2 linked regions of the Stegostoma tigrinum genome follow. The protein of the gene in region 1 interacts with the protein of each later gene in a biochemical or structural test. Links are inferred from orthologs where the notes say so. Each region holds a gene or a part of one and is shown on either strand. Other genes may lie near its edges. The genes, in order: pdgfrb and ptprja.

Region 1 (9,243 bases):
TGTCTTAGAAAGCAGTAGAATTTGGAAGCGGGGTGGGGGGGAAGTCACTGGTTATTTTAGAGACTGAGGCAGAGAGATTCTTATTAGGCAAGAGCATCAATGGCTATTCGGGGTAAATAGGTTGTGGATTTCATAACACAAACAGGAAGCCCTGTTCTTACTGAATGTCTGAGCAAGCTCAAGAGGCTGATTGGTCTACTTCTGATCTTATTTATATGTTAGTTTGCAATATAGGAGCAATGTGTGCAACCTCACATCCTAGGGCAATCCAAGAGGCTAAGTTAATGAACGTTTGTTGTACTACCTCCAATGTAAACGTATCACTTCCTAAACATGGAGACCCAAACTGCCCAAAGTATTTCAGATGTGATCCCACCAAAACCCTGACATATGTCATAACACAGCATGGGGCTGGAGGAACACAGCAGGCCAGGCAGCATCAGAGGAGTAGGAAAGATGACGTTTCGGGTCAGGGCCCTTCTTCAGACCCTTTTCTGAAGAAGGGTCCTGACCCAAAATGTCAACTTTCCTGCTCCTGTAATGCTGCCTGGCCTGCTGTGCTCATCCAGCTTAGCTCTGACTCTAGCATCGGCAGTTCTTACTATCCCTGACAATGTGAGTTCTTTTCTTAAAAGAGGAGATACAGGAGGCTGCCTGGAAAGGAGCACTAGGATGTCATACCTGAAGGTGTATAGGAAGTTTCAGAAGAGAAAAATTCACTGCAAACTGAATTATGATTTCCTGTGAGTATCTCAGACTGTGAACATGAAGAGAGAAAAGACAGCTGTCAGAGATACATATTTGGGTGTTTCCCTTTTCAAGAATGATCAAGGAAAGGCAGTTTCAACACTAGCCTAAGTCAGAAGTCATACAACAACAGGTTATAGTCTAACAGGTTTATTTAAAATTACAAGCTTTCAGAGAGCTTCTTCCTCATTGAGTGAAGTGACAAAGGAGCAGAGCTCCAAAAGCTTGTGATTTCAAATAAACCTGTTGGACTATAATCTGGTGTTGTGTGACTTCTGACTTTGTCTATCCCATTACAACACTGGCACCTCCACATCATAGCAACCATGGCCTGTGTGTACTAGTGGACAATAGTGTTAATTTGTACTAACCTGGTTTGAATGTGAGTGTGCTGTAGAGCTCAAAGTCAAAGAACGATCCACTAGACACCCTGGAGTTGCAGGTAAAGGATTTCTACTCTCCTCCTATTTTCTATGTTTCTATGCACTGATTGCTGAAAGTTAGTTAGCAAGCCAGTTGAAAGGAAACCGACAATGCCAAGAATCTCAATATTGCCTTCTCAACTATCAACGTCAACACTACCAGAACTGCACAACGTAAAACATAGAACATAGAACATTACAGCACAGTACAGGCCCTTCAGCCCTCGATGTTGTGCCGACCTGTCATACCAATCTCAAACCCATCTAACCTACACTATTTCATGTACGTCCATATGCTTATCCAATGACGACTTAAATGTACCTAAAGTTGGCGAATCTACTACCATTTCACCGCCTCATCTTCCCAAATGGTGCAGAGACCGATCTGTATATCTTATAACTTTTATCTTTCCTTTTTAATCTATGGTATGTGCATTACATTATTATTTCTTCCCATAATTCATCAAAAATAAACTCTCTCTCATTAACTCGAGAGCCTGGCTAAATTGGTTCCATTTTAAAACACAAGGATTCACCTTATAGAAGCTTATAACATCATGGATAAGATGAATAGCCAAGGTCTTCTGGCCTGTGTAGCAGAGTCCAAAACTAGAAGGCATAGGTTTAAGTCAAGAGGGGAGAGATTTCGAAGGAACGTAAGGGGCAACCTTTTCATGCAGAGGGTGATGCGTGTATAAAATGAGGTGCCAGAGGAAGTGGTGGAGGCTGGTACAATTACAACATTTAAAAGGCAACTGGGTGGGTATTTGTATAGGAAGAATGTAAAGGGATACGGGTCAAATGCTGGCAAATGGGGCTAGATTAATTTAGGATATATGATTGGCGTGGACAAGTTGGACCAAAGGGTCTGTTTCTCTGCTGTACAGCTCTATCACTGACAAATCCACTTGGTCTGGGAGAAAATTATCTGCGAGGAAGGGAATCATTTTTAATTAACCTTGTGGCAGCCGAACCTAGGTGAATAAGGAAGGGGAGCCAGTTCATCCCTCCCTCAAGCCGGAGTTTGACAGTTTGCAGTAGTCCATCTGGATCTGTAATAAAATTGGGCGACTACCCCTGGAGAGTGGTTGTGATAACTTCTAAAGCATGTTTCAGGACATCAGCATTCCCAAAATGCTGAACACCCAATGAAGTACTTTGGAAATTGCAATGTAGGAAAGATGATAGTCAACTTGCACACAGCAAGCTCCCGCAAAACAGCAATGTGATAGCTGATCAGATGATCCATTGCTTTCTCACACCTCTGTGCCATTGTGTTCATCTTCATCTAAGAAATGTCCTGGAAGCCCCTTGAAACTTTGTAACCCATACTGTTAAGGGGGTAGTGAACAGATGTGAACAGGGTCACTGTGGATTCTAAGAGAGAAATTCAGAACCAAATTGTGAATCAGGTGCTGGCACAATTTTACCTTTTTCTTCCTCAAGACCATTGCTTGCTAATGGAAGCAAAGTCTTGATAAATTATGTTAACAATTATTCCATTTCATTTCAGTGCACAATGGCCACAGCACACATCATTTACAAGTATCACAGCAGCAAATCATCAGGGGTCCTTTGATATTAACTTCCGTACTACATACACTTATGTCAAGAAAGTCAAAGACAGCAAAAACAGAGAAACATCATAACTTACAAAATCCCTGTAGAATCCCTACAGGGCGGGAGGAGGCCATTCAGTCCATCAAGTCTACACCAACCCTCCAAAGAGCATCCCATACACATCATTCCTATAACCTCGCATTTACCATGGCTAATCCACCTAGCCTGCACACTACAGGGCGATTTAGCATGGCCAATCCACCTAACCTGTACATCTGTGGACTCTGGGAGGAAATCAGAATACATGGAGGAGACCGACAGAGCCATGGGGGACAGTATGCAAACTCCACACAGACAGTTAACCAAGGCTAGAATCAAAGCCAGGTTCTTGGCTCCGTGAGGCAGCAGTGCTAACCACTGAGGCACCGTGCAACTTGACACATGCACAATCCTCATTTCAAAACATATTGGTCCCTTGTTCATCAAAGCCAGGTCAAAATGCTGGAATTCCAACAATGCTGTGGGAGTAGCTGCACCATTTGGACTTCAGTGGTTTTAAGAAGTAGATCAACTACCAACTTGTTAATGGGAACTCACACACTCTTCTCCTGGCTTCCTAATATTACAAACATCACTGTCCAACACTTCCGCTGACTGATGAAAACCTCCAAGGCTGGTTGAAACTATTTGTGCCGAACCTACTTACCCAATTGCTGATGGCCTGTTCCTTCTAGCCATCCTACATGGAGCAACCTTTCTGAACCAGATCCACCAAGATACATCCCTCGGACCAAGCAATGGAAGCCATGAACAATTTCCTCGTGACAAACCCCATCTATCAAATGTGAACTACCATTACAAGAGTGGCCTCAGCTAAACAAGTTCAGAACAGGTCAGCGCTCTTTTGCAGTCAACCTTCTTCACTGGGGCCTCTTCTGCCAGTTGTGTAGAGACTCAAACAATGCTGCATATTATGGAGGAATGTTCCCTCTACATCCTAAATGCCAGACCAATAACCTTGAACTTAGCAAACGAAGAGGCTACGGCTTGGCATCAGGTTTCACATTTGCTAAATAAATGGGAAATGTAGGATAAGCAATAAATGCTAGTCTTGCTAAAGATGCAGACATTCCAAGATTTTTTAAAGTATGCTTTCATCAAACTGACTGTATAACTAATTCAGAGATAGTAAGAACTGCAGATGCTGGAGTCTGAGATAACACAGTATGGAGCTGGAGGAACACAGCAGGCCAGGCAGCATCAGAGGAGCAGGAAAGTTAACATTTCAGACCTGAAACATCAACTTTCCTGCTCCTCTGATACTGCTTGGCCGGCTGTGTTCCTCCAGGCACACACCGTGTGTAACTAATGGTCCAATGGTCCCTCTACAATTAGTCGCTATTACCAGTAGAGGTGCTGTGGCACCACCAAGTGGTCAGAATTTACAGCGTGACATGTTTACATGAAGTTTTTCCAGCCTCTAACAAATTTAAAGAAGAAACAAAAGTGTGAATTCAACGGGCTTGGCAGCATGTGTAAAGAAATAATCAGAGTTAACGTTTTAAACTTTAAACTGCGAAATATTAACTCTGATTCTTCACAGATGCTGCCAGACCTGCTGAGCTTTTCCAGCAACTTTGTTTTTGTTCCTGATTTACAGCATGCGTAGTTCTTTCGGTTTTCGTTAGTTGTGAATTCAGTGCCTGTTAAAATGGGGATTACACTGGATATGTAACCTTGATTTAATAATGTCATCTCATTTTACCTAAAAATTGCACATACTCCCGATTCCCAAGCAAAGAGTAATTTAAATATTGCAAGCAGACCAGATTAAACTATTCATTAAAGACGTTTCCCTTTGAAGAATATTGGAATTAAAGTCGAATTAAGTTTGACTTCCTGAATAGTGAAGGGAGAAATAGGCACGGGGCAACATTCCTTGCTGACAGAGGGTTAAAATCAGGATGGACTAGGAATTTATAAACTCACCACAGTCCTTAATTTCTTCCATATGTAACCTTGTACGTGTCAGTATCTCCCTAACCAGGGGCTATGCGTTTGAATCTGTGATTCCAGTCACTACGTTTTGTTAGCAATGTGCCTCATCTCGACATTTCGTGTCAAACTGTGTTTAAGAAAGAACTCGCACTTTCGAAGGGATAAAACAGCACGGATTGGCTTATAACATACAAGAATAAAGCGAGAGAAGGTTTGAAGTCGATTCATTGACCGTGAGTCAACTCTTGGCATGGAGAGGCAGGGCTCTCGACATCCTTTTTAAATCCCACACACATACACAAAAAAAAGTTTGGGCAAATTGCCAGACTGCAAAGGGAATTGTCTCAGAGTTGGAGCACTCAAGAGAAAATCAGCACTGCTCTCAATCCTCCCGTCCCAGCACTAGAGGTTTTTTTTTCCCCCCGATAAGTTCCAGGAAGATTTCCTTTCTGTTTCTCTCTCGGAATGTATTTTTAAAACACACACGGTGCCGTCCTCAACCAAACTCGAGCAGTTTCTTGCCTCTCCTGCGGAGTTTGCTCTTTAAAAAAGTGTTTGGAGAAGCATTTTTTTTCTCTCTGTGTGTGTTTGTCCCCTCCTCCCCCGTTACAACCAGGCGATTCTACAATAGGAGGCTGAGACTGGGCTGCCAGTGTTATTCCAGACCTCTTCCCTGAGCCTTTCCTGAGGAATGGACTCCCTCAAAGGCAAGTCTCCCACCGCCGAGATCTCCAGGTGAGTTAATCTTGGCTGGTCATTCTGGGCTCGGTTGGTGTGGCTTGTCCCCTCAAGTTTTGTGGAAATGGGAAACTTCTGAAGATTAGTTGGATTGAGAATTTCCTCCTTTGCATTTTTTAACCCCTTGGTGTCTACAAGTCACCTCCACTTGAGGTGGGGAGCGATTTTTGTTCTTTTGATCACAGATGTCAGGGAGTTTTGAAGATTCACTAGGAGATTTCATTGCAAGGGAAGGGGTAGAGGAGATACACCAGGATGTTGCCTGGGATGGAGTATTGCAGCTATGAAGAGAGGTTGGACAAGTCTGGGTTGTTTTGCAGAAAAGGCTGAGGGGGTCCTCCTGGTAGAGGTGCATCAGATTACGAGGGACACAGGATGAATAGAAAGCTGCAGTTTTCCTTAGTCCAAGGGTCAGTAACAAGGGAGCTTACATTTTAAGTGAAAGGCAGGATGCTTAGGTGAAATTTAAGGAAAATCCTCTAACATAGTGTGTGATGAGGGTCAGGGATGCAAATGCCTGGGAGGGTAGTTGAGCCAAGAAAGCTCACAACCTTTAAAAAGTACTTGGGTGAGCGCTTGAAATGTCATAACATTCAAGGCTGTGCAGGAAAGTGGGATGTGTCCATTTAGGTTGGTCCATGCAGACTTGATGGGCTGAAGGGCCTCTTCTGTCCTGAATTATTCTAAGAACCAAATGAGGCGATGAGAAATGTTATGGTCAGGAGAGTCCTCCACTGGCCTGAGAGGGAGATGGAAGCACATTCAATAAGAAGTTGGAAGTTGGAGCAATATTTGATAGAGGTTTAAAAGGCATGGCTATGGGGAAAGAATAGAGAGGATGGGACAAATCCAATATCTTGATAAAAGAGGAAGTATAGGTATGTTGGGCCAAGAGGTCATTGTCTGTGCTGACTGGTTCAATGACACAGCTCCTCATTTTATTATTGTTAGAAGCTGCAATGAATTAGTGGAATGTGCAGAGTCGGCAAGAGGACAGCTCCTTATATGTATGTTTCTAACACAAAAAAAATTAGATCAGATTTTGATGATGGCTTTAATTATTTGCATTCTTCTGCAAATTGTCATCTTCTTCCGCCAGATCTTAACGATGAGTTTGCCTGGGATTTTCTCTCTCTCTCTGCCTTCGAAACAGGAAAAGGGAGTTTTTAAAAGTCTGTTGCTGAATGAGTAAAAGGTCTTGTCGTGAGCTTGGCGTGTCTCTGTTGGGATCTAAGTGCTTCACTGGAGATTATTCTTGGAGTTTGACAGCACACAGAGACAAGGCCTGGATGCCGGAAGTTGAAATGCTGGGTCACATGTTTAGACTGATATGTCATGGATCCCAAGCTATCTTCACTTCCTTACCCTATTACTTACCTGTTGATGAGGAGATGAAAGTGTTAAATACTCATGCTTGAGAAATAAAGACCCTTAATGTGCTGGTATCTGAGCAAAAAAGCTCACTAAGAGGCATACATATGACCTGTTCCTCAAGGTGGAGAATTTGGGACAAATGGCATGCATTATCCACAGAGTGAAACCACTTCGATCAAACTTTTGATCACTTATCCTCAGATCTTCGCAACTGGCTCAGATATGGGAAGACTATGGCAATGGACTAGCATGCTAGAGGATCAGGCTTATTCTTTGGGATGCTGGTTCAGATCTCACCAGGGCACCTCATGGCCTCTATATTCTATTGATAAGAAATAAATCTTGAATTGGAAGTCAGTTTCTGAAATAGTGACCCATCTGTATTACCCTGAGAAATGATGGTTGTAGCTGCCATCTTCTTGAAGCATAGTAGCCCACGTTGTGTCTTTTTGTTAACAGGCTTAACATAAGCACTATCTTTGTTAGGCCATTTCACAGGGCAGTTTAGAGTCAACCACGTTGTTAGAGGAGCTTTACAAGGACTGATTTTCTTCCCTGAAATATAACAGTTGCATTTCTGTGACATACCATCAGCTTTGTGCTCACTTGTGCGAATTTATGCCATAAGGTTATGTTACATTAGATTGGTGATTTGTTTTATTTATCTATTTCTGCATGCATAGATTCTCAAAATGGACATGCTTTTGTTTAAATCAGAAACTACAGGAGGGGAACCAAGGCTAGATTCTTACTGGAGCTTACAGTGATTTGAATCATGCATGCAGCATGTTGTACAATGGAATGTGGATATGTAACTGATTATGTTACTCTGATATCAGTAGGGCAGGAGAACAGACCAGACAGAAGCTTGTAATGAAACAAGTGGAAGATATACAGTTGAGAGACAAATTCAGTTATCTGTGCAAACATAAATGTAAATAGAGTGTTAATGTATTGAATAAAGTGATAGAGCCTTACTCTAACATAACAATGAACGAATGAAATGAGTGACCAAGAGTGGCAAGATAACAAAGTGTGGAGCTGGATGAACACAGCAGGCCCAGCAGCATCTCAGGAGTACAAAAGCTGACGTTTTGGGCCTAAACCCTTCATCAGAGAGGGGGATGGGTTGAGGGTTCTGGAATAAATAGGGAGAGAGGGGGAGGCGGACTGAAGATGGAGAGAAAAGAAGACAGGTGGAGAGGAGAGTATAGGTGGGGAGGTAGGGAGGGGATAGGTCAATCCAGGGAAGATGGACAGGTCAAGGAGGTGGGATGAGGTTAGTAGGTAGGAGATGGAGGTGCGGCTTGAAGTGGGAGGAAGGGATGGGTGAGAGGAAGAACAGGTTAGGGAGGCAGAGACAGACTGCACTGGTTTTGGGATGCAGTGGGTGGAGGGGAAGAGCTGGGCTCGTTGTGTGGTGCATTGGGGGGAGGGACGAGCTGGGCTGGTTTTGGGATGCGTTGGGGGAAGGGGAGATTTTGAAACTGGTGAAGTCCACATTGATACCATTGGGCTGTAGGGTTCCCAAGCGGAATATGAGTTGCTGTTCCTGCAACTTTCGGGTGGCATCATTGTGGCACTGCAGGAGGCCCATGATGGACATGTCATCTAAAGAATGGGAGGGGTAGTGGAAATGGTTTGCGACTGGGAGGTGCAGTTGTTTATTGCGAACCGAGCGGAGGTGTTCTGCAAAGCGGTCCCCAAGCCTCAATGTAGAGGAAGCCACACCAGGTACAATGGATACAGTATACCACATTGGCAGTTGTGCAGGTGAACCTCTGCTTAATATGGAAAGTCATCTTGGGGCCTGGGATAGGGGTGAGGGAGGAGGTGTGGGGGCAAGTGTAGCATTTCCTGCGGTTGCAGGGGAAGGTGCCGGGTGTGGTGGGGTTGGAGGGCAGTGTGGAGCGAACAAGGGAGTCACGGAGAGAGTGGTTTCTCTGGAAAGCAGACAAGGGTGGGGATGGAAAAATGTCTTGGGTGGTGGGGTCGGATTGTAGATGGCGGAAGTGTCGGAGGATGATGCGTTGTATCCGGAGGTTGGTGGGGTGGTGTGTGAGAACGGTCGGATTGTAGATGGCGGAAGTGTCGGAGGATTATGGTCGGGTTGTAGAGACACCAGCTTCAAAATCTCCCCTTCCCCCACCGCATCCCAAAACCAGCCCAGTTCATCCCCTCCCCCCACTGCACCACACAACCAGCCCAGCTCTTTCCCTCCGCCCACTGCATCCCAAAACCAGTCCAACCTGTCTCTGCCTCCCTAACCGGTTCTTCCTCTCACCCATCCCTTCCTCCCACCCCAAGCCGCACCTCCATCTCCTCCCTACTAACCTCATCCCACCTCCTTGACCTGTCCGTCTTCCCTGGACTGACCTATCCCCTCCCTATCTCCCCACCTATA
Region 2 (9,149 bases), on another chromosome or scaffold:
CCAAGGACAGAGCCCTGTGGAACCCCACTCACCACTGACTTCCAGGCAGAATATTTTCCTTCTACTACCACTCGCTGTCTTCTGTTGGCCAGCCAATTCTGTATCCAAGCAGCTAAGTTCCCCTGTATCCCATTCCTCCTGACCTTCTGAATGAGCCTTCCATGGGGAACCTTATCAAATGCCTTACTGAAGTCCATATACACCACATCCACAGCTTGACCCTCATCAACCTTACTAGTCACATCCTCAAAAAACTCGATAAGGTTTGTAAGGCATGACCTACCCCTCACAAAGCCGTGTTGACTGTATTTGATCAAGCCATGCTCTTCCAGATGGTCATAAATCTTATCCCTCAGAATCCTTTCTAACACCTTGCAGACGACAGACGTGAGACTTACCGGTCTATAATTGCCGGGGATTTCCCTATTTCCTTTCTTGAAGAGAGGAATTACATTTGCCTCTCTCCAGTCCTCAGGTACGACTCCAGTGGAGAGCGAGGATGCAAAGATCTTCGCAAGTGGCGAAGCAATTGCATTTCTCGCTTCCCAAAGCAGCCGAGGACAAATCTGATCCGGGCCTGGCGACTTGTCAATCTTAATGTTTGACAAAATTTTCAGTACATCAGCTTCCTCTATCTCTATCCATTCCAGCATGCACACCTGCTCTTCAAAGGTTTCATTCACTACACAGGTCGTTTCTTTCGTAAAGACAGAAGCAAAAAACTCATTTAGGGCTTCCCCTACCTCCTCAGGCTCCACACACAAGTTCCCTATGCTATCCCTGATCGGCCCTACTCTTTCTTTGACCATTCTCTTATTCCTCACGTAAGTGTAAAATGCCTTTGTGTTTTCCCGGATTCCTTCTGCCAAGCCTTTCTCGTGCCCCCTCCTGGCTCTCCTCAGACCATTTTTGAGCTCCTTCCTTGCCTGCATGTAATCCTCTCTAGCTGAACTTGACCCTAGCTTCCTCCACCTTATGTAAGCTACCTTCTTCCTTTTCACTAGAAGCTCCACCGCTCTCGTCATCCAAGGTTCCTTTATCTTACCCCGTCTTGCCTGTCTCAGAGGGACATATTTACTCATCACTCCCAACAACTGTTCCTTAAACCATCTCCACATGTCTATAGTTCCCTTACCATGGAACAACTGCTCCCAGTCCATGCTTCCTAACTCGTGTCTAATCGCATCATAGTTTCCTCTTCCCCAATTAAATATCCTCCCATTCTGCCTAATCCTCTCCTTCTCCATAGCTATGTAGAATGAGAGAGTGTTATGGTCACTATCACCAAAATGCTCTCCCACCACAAGATCTGATACCTGCCCCGGCTCGTTTCCGAGCACCAAGTCTAGAATGGCCTCTCCCCTCGTCGGCCTGTCAACGTACTGCGTTAGGAAACCCTCCTGAACACACCTTACAAAAACAGCTCCATTCAAATCTTCTGCTCGAAGGAGGTTCCAATCAATATTAGGAAAGTTAAAGTCACCCATTACAACAACCCTACTGCGTCCACACTTTTCCAAAATCTGTCGACCTATGCTTTCTACAATCTCCCTGCTGCTATTGGGGGGCCTGTAGTAAACCCCTAACGAGGTGACTACTCCCTTGCTGTTCCTAATTTCCACCCATACTGACTCAGTAGGCAGATCTTCCTCGACAATGGAAGCTTCTGTAGCTGTGATACCCTCTCTGATTAGTAGTGCTACACCCCCTCCTCTTTTTGCCCCCTCCCTATTCTTTTTAAATGTTCTAAACCCTGGAACATCCAGCAACCATTCCAGCCCATGAGAAACCCATGTCTCTGTTATGGCCACAACATCATAGCACCAGGTACTGATCCATGCTCTAATTTTGATGAATGTGGAGACTTTTGCGAACCAAACGTTTGCAAATTTTAATATTTGATTGAGTGCAATAGCGCTGATATCGTGAGGGCTTGGTGAGACAGTAAAGTAGGATCTTGTGGAAGATAAATCTAATACCGGGCTCCTGCATCTTCTTTGTAGTGATGTACAGCCTGTTCTTTTAACCTCTTAGTAGTTGAGCATCTTTACATCTTTGGTTGTTCTGCAAGGGTCAGAAGGTGGTTGTCTTTAGACAGATTAGTCCACATGTGTCCCTGAAGAACTTTAGAAGATATGGGTGGCAGCGCACATGACACACTCTTCTTGCTTTTGATTACAATTTTTCCCTTTTGTCTCTAAAATCAAGACTCCACATATTTTGAATGACTGTATTAAATCTTTGTTTAATCTTCTTACCTCTAAATTGAACAATCCCACATCCTCCAGACCCCACACAGAGCACCTCATCCCAAAATTTATGTTAAACAAATCTACACAAACAGAAACAAAATTAATGGCCAATGACTATCATACTCAATAGTAATGAGTGAGGAAGGAAAATTGCTAAGATAACAAGTACTATATTTGCAAATATACTCTTATAAAATTACTATTATGAGGGGGCACAATTTTAAGGAAGGTGTAGGGGAGATTTCAGAGGTAGGTTCTTCACACAGAGACAGGTGGGTGTGTGGAATGCGCTGCTGGCAGTTGTAGTGTAGTCAGATATTTTAGAGACTTTTAAGCAACTCTTGGATAAGTACATAGAGGATAGTAAAATGCAAATTATGCAGTGTAGATTGATCTTAGTAGGATAGTAGGTCAGCACAACATCGTGGGCTGAAGAGCCTGTACTGCGCAGTGCTGTTCTGTTCCATGTTCTACATAAATGTTTAATAATTACCAATGACTACTACATGTAGGAACTTCCTTTCCCCTTCAAAGTTCTTATACATGTTGCCACATTCAAAGTCCATGCCCACCTTTCCCAAAATTCCATGTTTGAACCAAACTCAACAGGTCTGCCCCAGCCACAATACTAAAGTGGCCCTTACCAGGCCACAAATGACATCTTATGTGACCATGATAATGGTGCATTGTATCTCCTTATTCTTATTGATTTGTTTGTCTCTGACACAGTTGACCACTTTGCCTGTCTTCAATGCTTCCAGTCTGTTGTCCTGACTCCCTCAGAAGGTTCTGTTCTTATCAGTCCAGTTCTTTCCTTCCTGCTTCAGCATTATTACTTCTGGAGATGCTCAGTATCTGTCATTGACACCTCTTATTTGTCATTTATAGCAATATCGTCTTAAAAAATACCATGTCACCTTCCACACAAATGACAATGAAACCTTGCTATATCTCACCAGCCCCTCTTGTGGCAGCAGCCGTTGAATCTAGTTTGTAATGGTGTCAACCCAAAACCTGGTATTGGATGAGCACAATTTGTTTCCATTAAATAATGCTTAGCCTGCAGCCTTCGTTTTCATTCCATACCACAAACTCCACATCCCAGCCATTGACTTGCTCCTTACTGTGGCTAATTCTGAAACAAAGGCACACAGTTGGCACGCCCCTTGACCTTACTCTGTGCTTCCAACCCTTCAGCATCAGGACTGCCCACACTCATTTCCATTACATTACCAATATCCTTCTTTTGCTACTGCTGAAACTTTATGTTATCTCCAGATGCAAAACTTCAATGCTTTTGTGCCCAGTCTCCTTTCCTCCAGACTCAGTCAACTTCAAATCACCCAGAACTCTGTAACTTGTGTCATAAGCCACAGATCCCACCATTCCTGTGCTTACTCACATTGGCTGCAGGCCTGACAATGCTTCTAAGTTAAAAATCTCCATCTTAGCCCTCAAATCCTTCCTTGGCCACCTCTCTCCCTAATGCTGTCATATCTTGCAGTCTTACAACTCTCTGATATCTCTGCAACCCCCTGATTTTGGGCCCTGGCTTTCATAACCCACTAATTACAGCTATGTTGCAGATGCCTCTGGATTTAGTGATGGATTTTCTCCTGTAAACTATTCCTCCTTGCATTACATCATCTAATCTGGGGCAAAATCCACATACATGACCCAGTCAGACAAAACATTGCTTACTTACCATGATTTTTTTAGGCCCAACTTCCGATGCAGGATCTATCCCAACATTCAAGGTGCAGAATACCTTTGCAGGAAGAATCAAACTAAAAGTTGTTTCCCTTTTCATGGCATACTTGTTACTGTGTTCTCATCACTATGTGTGAAATTCGAATGACAAGTTACTGAGAGAAGTTAAGTGTGTCGAGCTTTTCCAGTCAAAATACTCAACGACGTTATTACACCCTCCAAAGCAAGGTAGTATTTGACCCTGGGTCTCCTGTTTTAGAAGTGCGGACAGTACCACTGCACGAGCAGGTTAGTGGGTGAGGGTGTAGACTGGCAGTGGGTGACTAAGGAGGTGGTTCAGGGAACGGGGAAGCAGATCCAGGGTCTGGTGTCCTGGGCAGAGGCAATGTGAGTGGGTGATCCAGCAAGGATTCAGGTGGAGGAGTCAGTTGTTTGGGAGTTGGAGCAGGAGATCCTTGAAAATCTCCCGGATTACTATCCAAGTAAGAGAGTCGACACCGTCCAAAGTCTCTAATTCTAACTCAGAATTAGACACTTTGGCATACTTCCTGGCAAATTAGAATATTCCTCATGGCCGTTTCCATTGGGACCTCGAAGGGTGCCCAACACCTGCCTTTCAGAAGGCCTGGGCACAGAGTGTACTGGGTCATTGGGACATACTGGTTAGTGCCTGCAGTGTTCATATTTTCACAGCAACCTTCAACTACACTACATCCCACCCCATCACTCTGAGGCTTTCATTTTGAGTTTCTGTTTGAGGCGGTCAGTGACTTCTATTTGAAGTTTGGTTTCCCCCACAGCCTCTCTTTCCCAAGAGGCTTTTGGTCACCCAACCTAATACTTCTTGATGTGGTTCAGGGTCAAGCTTTGCTGGTTACGCTTTGTAAAGTAGTAAATGCAGGAGATTTTTTTAATGCGCTGCCTCTGGTGAAATCCGTTTATGTAATTTTCAGTGAAAATAACTGTGAGGTGGGGGTGGAATTGACATTGGCTAACAAATGGAACTGCAGGTGAATGGAAGTACCCTGTTGACTGGGCCAGCTCGTTGTACTGCCTGAACTCAGCAGGTCAATGCTCGGGAGTGTTTTCTCTGACGTTACAGAACGGGCTCCACCCTTTCTTTAATTCAACTTTCTTCCTCCTAGCAGTTCAGGCTAGTGCTTCACTGCACAGCCCCTCTCTCCCGTGAACATAATGGGCTTCGGCTGTGGGTTTGCTGGCAGCAAGGTGAAGTGAGTCATTTCTGTTTGACAGAAAAAAAGAAAGAGAGAAGTTGGCGAACGGTTCGGCGCAGAGTCACGACTGCTGAAAGGGGGAGAAAGAGAGAAAAACAAAAAGTTTTCATTGGAAACTGTTGTAGTTTCCTGGATCGAGGATGGAGCCAACTTGGCGTAATGTAATGATGCTGCTGGCCAGCGCCTTCCTGTTTCAGGTGAGAATAGTGGGTAGTTGTAAGTTTTCTGTCTGTGTGTGTGTGTAGGGTAGGGGTGGGCTGTTACTGTGGATAAAGATGCGGGAACTGCCCTGTTGCACCTGCCGACGGCACTGTTTATCTCCTCCTCACTGAGGAGATGGGGTTCGGAGTATCCGCACCTGAAACGGGACACAGTATGCTGGAGATAGACCTCTTGCTGTCTCTCTGTCGCTAACACCCCCCACCAGTTCGCTCACTTGTTTAGCAATTAACTCGCCTGCTCAAGAGTTGCACAATCCCGATTTAAAGTAAGTGTATTCAAGTCCCCAGAATCAAAGCAACATTCCCTTTCATAGAAATTTTGCCGTAAAGTTTCAATGAACTGTTTTATTTACAAGTTATTAGCATACTTAAAGTTAGTAAATAGGGAGGGGGAGGGGGAAACAACATGCAACCACCAGAGATCATCTCCTTCCGAATACTACACATTTTAAATATGTAATGTTGTAAAGTCGTGCGTCTCTTGTGCTAGAATCTTTCGAACAACTTCAGTTCTTTTTGCAATGTGCTTCTCAGTGTTAAGAAAGAATGCTTTGCTTTGGGGTTACCCATGACCCTACTTGACCCACTGCTTTGATTAATTGCCTGAATGTTCATCCCAAGTTGGGGATGAGCCACTGTGAATTCTTTTGCTGTCCTGCCCAGGATTATACTCCTTTCTGTACCAGGCAAACCAGGCACTAATAATCCAGAGATAATGGGAACAGCAGATGCTGGAGAATCCAAGATAATAAAGTGTGAAGCTGGATGAACACAGCAGGCCAAGCAGCATCTCAGGACCACAAAAGCTGACGTTTCGGGCCTAGACCCTTCATCAGAGAGAGCTCTCCAGCTCATCCAGCTTCACACTTTATTAACTAATAGTCCAGAGATAGTCGGAACTGCTGAAGCTGGAGAATCTGAGATAACAAGGTGTAGAGCTGGATGAACACAGCAGGCCAAGCAGCACCTGAGGAACAGGAAAGCTGATGTTTCGGGCCTCGACCCTTCTTCAATCCAGCAGTGATTTCTGGAATAGGCCATCAGTTATACACCTGTCTTCGTGCTCAAGTCTCTGATCTGATGCGCTAGATGACAGACATATCTTGTGAATTGGGAGAAACATTTTAAATGGAAACAATTAATTTTATACAGTAGGTTTTAATTAATACAATTTACAAAGAATTCCTGGAGAGGCAGATATTGCATTTTGGTTTCTGCTTTGGTTACTTTTAGAGAAGTGAATCAGTACATTTTCTGAAATTTTAATGGCTAGTCTCTCTACTGATGGGATATAATTATAGCTAAAAGGTAGTTGACAAAAGTACCATATCAGATTCATGGGTAATGGTGCATATCACCATTAAGACTAAATGCTTCTAAATACATTCAGTTGGGTGGCGTTCTTCCCTACCCACCCTTTTTGTTTGCTGTATAGATTATTTGAGATTACTAAATTTATTTCCTTTCATACGGGCATGCTTTGCTATGTCGCGTTTAGTCAAAGTATCAACTGACAGTGTGCTGAGCCCCCAAGTTCGCATTTTTACCAAAGAAGTACACAAGCCTTAGTTTCTTGTCCCGTCCCTGCTGACAACATTGTAACTTGCATTTGTATATCAGGGCTTTTCCAGAATGAAACATTCCATTGTTTTTCACATCCAGCGGCAAAGCAACGAGTAGAAGGGAAATGACCAAAGGTGCTGTTGAAGCCATGGATATGGAGGAGGTTTTGAAACTGGGAAGACATGAGAGAGTAGGCAAGGCGACTGATACTGTGCAGTTAGTAATGGAGAGGAGGACTGCTATGGTGCACCTTGCTTGGGCTCAAGAATGTCTTTGCCAGTGTCGTCAGGAATGGCACTGCAGCATGCAGCATAGGAACAGTGTAGGCTATACACAGGGAAATCAGGCTGAAGGAAACTGCAGAAAAGTTCTGTTGAATAATTCTTCAAATTGAGTATTTTGCAGTTGGTACACCAGTTTACTAAAGGCACCTGAGTTGGTGAGCAGGAGTTAGTGCAAATTTAATGTGGGTGACTTGACAACTGTTAAGAACGGAGCAAAAGAACCCTGGCTGACTCCACCAAAAGTAAGGCAGGGTTTCAGCAACCTTATGCATGAGATAGAGATGGATATGGAAATAAATAGTGTTGATGATATCCTGTGTGAATACTAAATCAGGGCAGGGCCACGCACTGTCACATGCAATTTAGTCTGCCTGCCTAGGTTACGTGCGTCTTGTACTGGTCTTAAGATAATTTCCTTCAAACATTCAGATTGGTCTGTGATGCTGCGATCAGATCTGATAATTATTCTGCATTAGCCAAAGATCTGAATGGAGAAAGCCATTATATCTTTTCCCCTGCCAGACCACTGAAGGAATAGGAGTTCAGACGTAGTGGTCAAAAATGTGGGGAAAGTTTTTGACACCTTTTTTTAAATAAAAGATCTGCCCTTTTTGAATTAGGAAGAACAGGGACCCCTCCTAAACACTGAACAACTCAAGTTATAGATATGATTTTCCACTGGACTTCTGCAAGGCCTTTTGAAGGGCCATAGAGATTAATGATGTAACCAATTTCTGGAAATCTCTTTGAATACATGTTAATTCACAGTGGGTCCAAACTTAAAAATTGCATTTAAGTGTAGATTGAAAATATTTGTATATACCCCCATGTCCGGCTTGATAAAGGTGAGTACCTAGCAGTTAAAATAGTCCAGTCAAGCTGTTGGGGCATTTATCGTTTGAAAGCACAACCCTAGATTCAACATGTACTTTGTTGATAATCAGCATTGCGTTACCAGCATGGCTAGTGATCCCTCACTGACTCTGATTTGCCATGCTGCTTGTCAGACATCAAGATGAATCAAGAGTGACTTCAATTAAGCATTATGTAAATAAATAATAACACTAGCCATTGACTTTGTCCTCTGCTTTAATTACAATCCATCATCTCACTGCCTGAGCCTGAAGCAGGACTGTTCAGAAACCACGACGTTTTATTTGATGTTGAATTTCCAGACTGATGTATGTATGAATGTACATCTCTGTATCATCGAGACTGCCTATTTTCACTGTTTAGCATTATCTATCTTCTCCTGCACTGTAGCCTATCTGCTAATGCTCCCTATTTCTCCTTTTGATGTCTGTCAATTGAATGTACTTCTGACCAACCGTCTAACTTGTGTCGTTGGCATACTCCACCCGTATCCAGCTTGTGCCAATCTCTGTTTGACACTCTCCTTGTTGCTACCTACGTTTCCTGCAAGTGTGACATTGTCTCTGTCAGAATTCTCAGTCTTTCTTTCACGTTCCTCCACTCCTTTGTCTCTCCCTGCCTCTGCGATCTCCTCTAACCCTACAGCCCTCCAAGATTTAAGAAAGGAGATAATTCGTTGGAGATCACTCTGTGACAACTTGTTGAATTGTTCTGTGATAAGAAGCTGAGTAAATTCGGTTGATATTCTGTGGCGTTTTGAAGAGTAACAAGCAAAATCCTGAACTTGCTCGTCAGGGCAGGTGCTGAGATACTGGTTTTCACTGATTGGGCAATCTGATTCGTGAGTGTGTGGCCTTAAGAAAGGGGTTAACCATTTAAGACTACAATAAACAAATTCCTCCACTCGAAGGAAAATGCAGTTTTAAAATTCTTTACTGAAAGGCATTTGTGGAGGCTTCATTCAATGCTTCCATTAAGTCCTGGAATTGACAGATTTTTAGTGTCACATGG

Evidence for each region.
Region 2: of the proteins of pdgfrb (region 1) and ptprja, one has a biochemical effect on the other in vitro, tested with the Homo sapiens proteins (2 studies listed by IntAct). The link is inferred for Stegostoma tigrinum from reciprocal best matches to the Homo sapiens genes PDGFRB and PTPRJ.

What each region holds. Positions count from the first base shown.
Region 1 is NC_081366.1:10,721,121-10,730,363, forward strand, and holds the start of pdgfrb (platelet-derived growth factor receptor beta), read left to right. Parts: upstream 1-5,048; 5' UTR 5,049-5,418; coding exon 5,419-5,462; intron 5,463-9,243. UniProt on the Homo sapiens protein: Tyrosine-protein kinase that acts as a cell-surface receptor for homodimeric PDGFB and PDGFD and for heterodimers formed by PDGFA and PDGFB, and plays an essential role in the regulation of embryonic development, cell proliferation, survival, differentiation, chemotaxis and migration.
Region 2 is NC_081370.1:8,172,360-8,181,508, forward strand, and holds the start of ptprja (receptor-type tyrosine-protein phosphatase eta), read left to right. Parts: upstream 1-5,110; 5' UTR 5,111-5,337; coding exon 5,338-5,394; intron 5,395-9,149. UniProt on the Homo sapiens protein: Tyrosine phosphatase which dephosphorylates or contributes to the dephosphorylation of CTNND1, FLT3, PDGFRB, MET, KDR, LYN, SRC, MAPK1, MAPK3, EGFR, TJP1, OCLN, PIK3R1 and PIK3R2. Plays a role in cell adhesion, migration, proliferation and differentiation.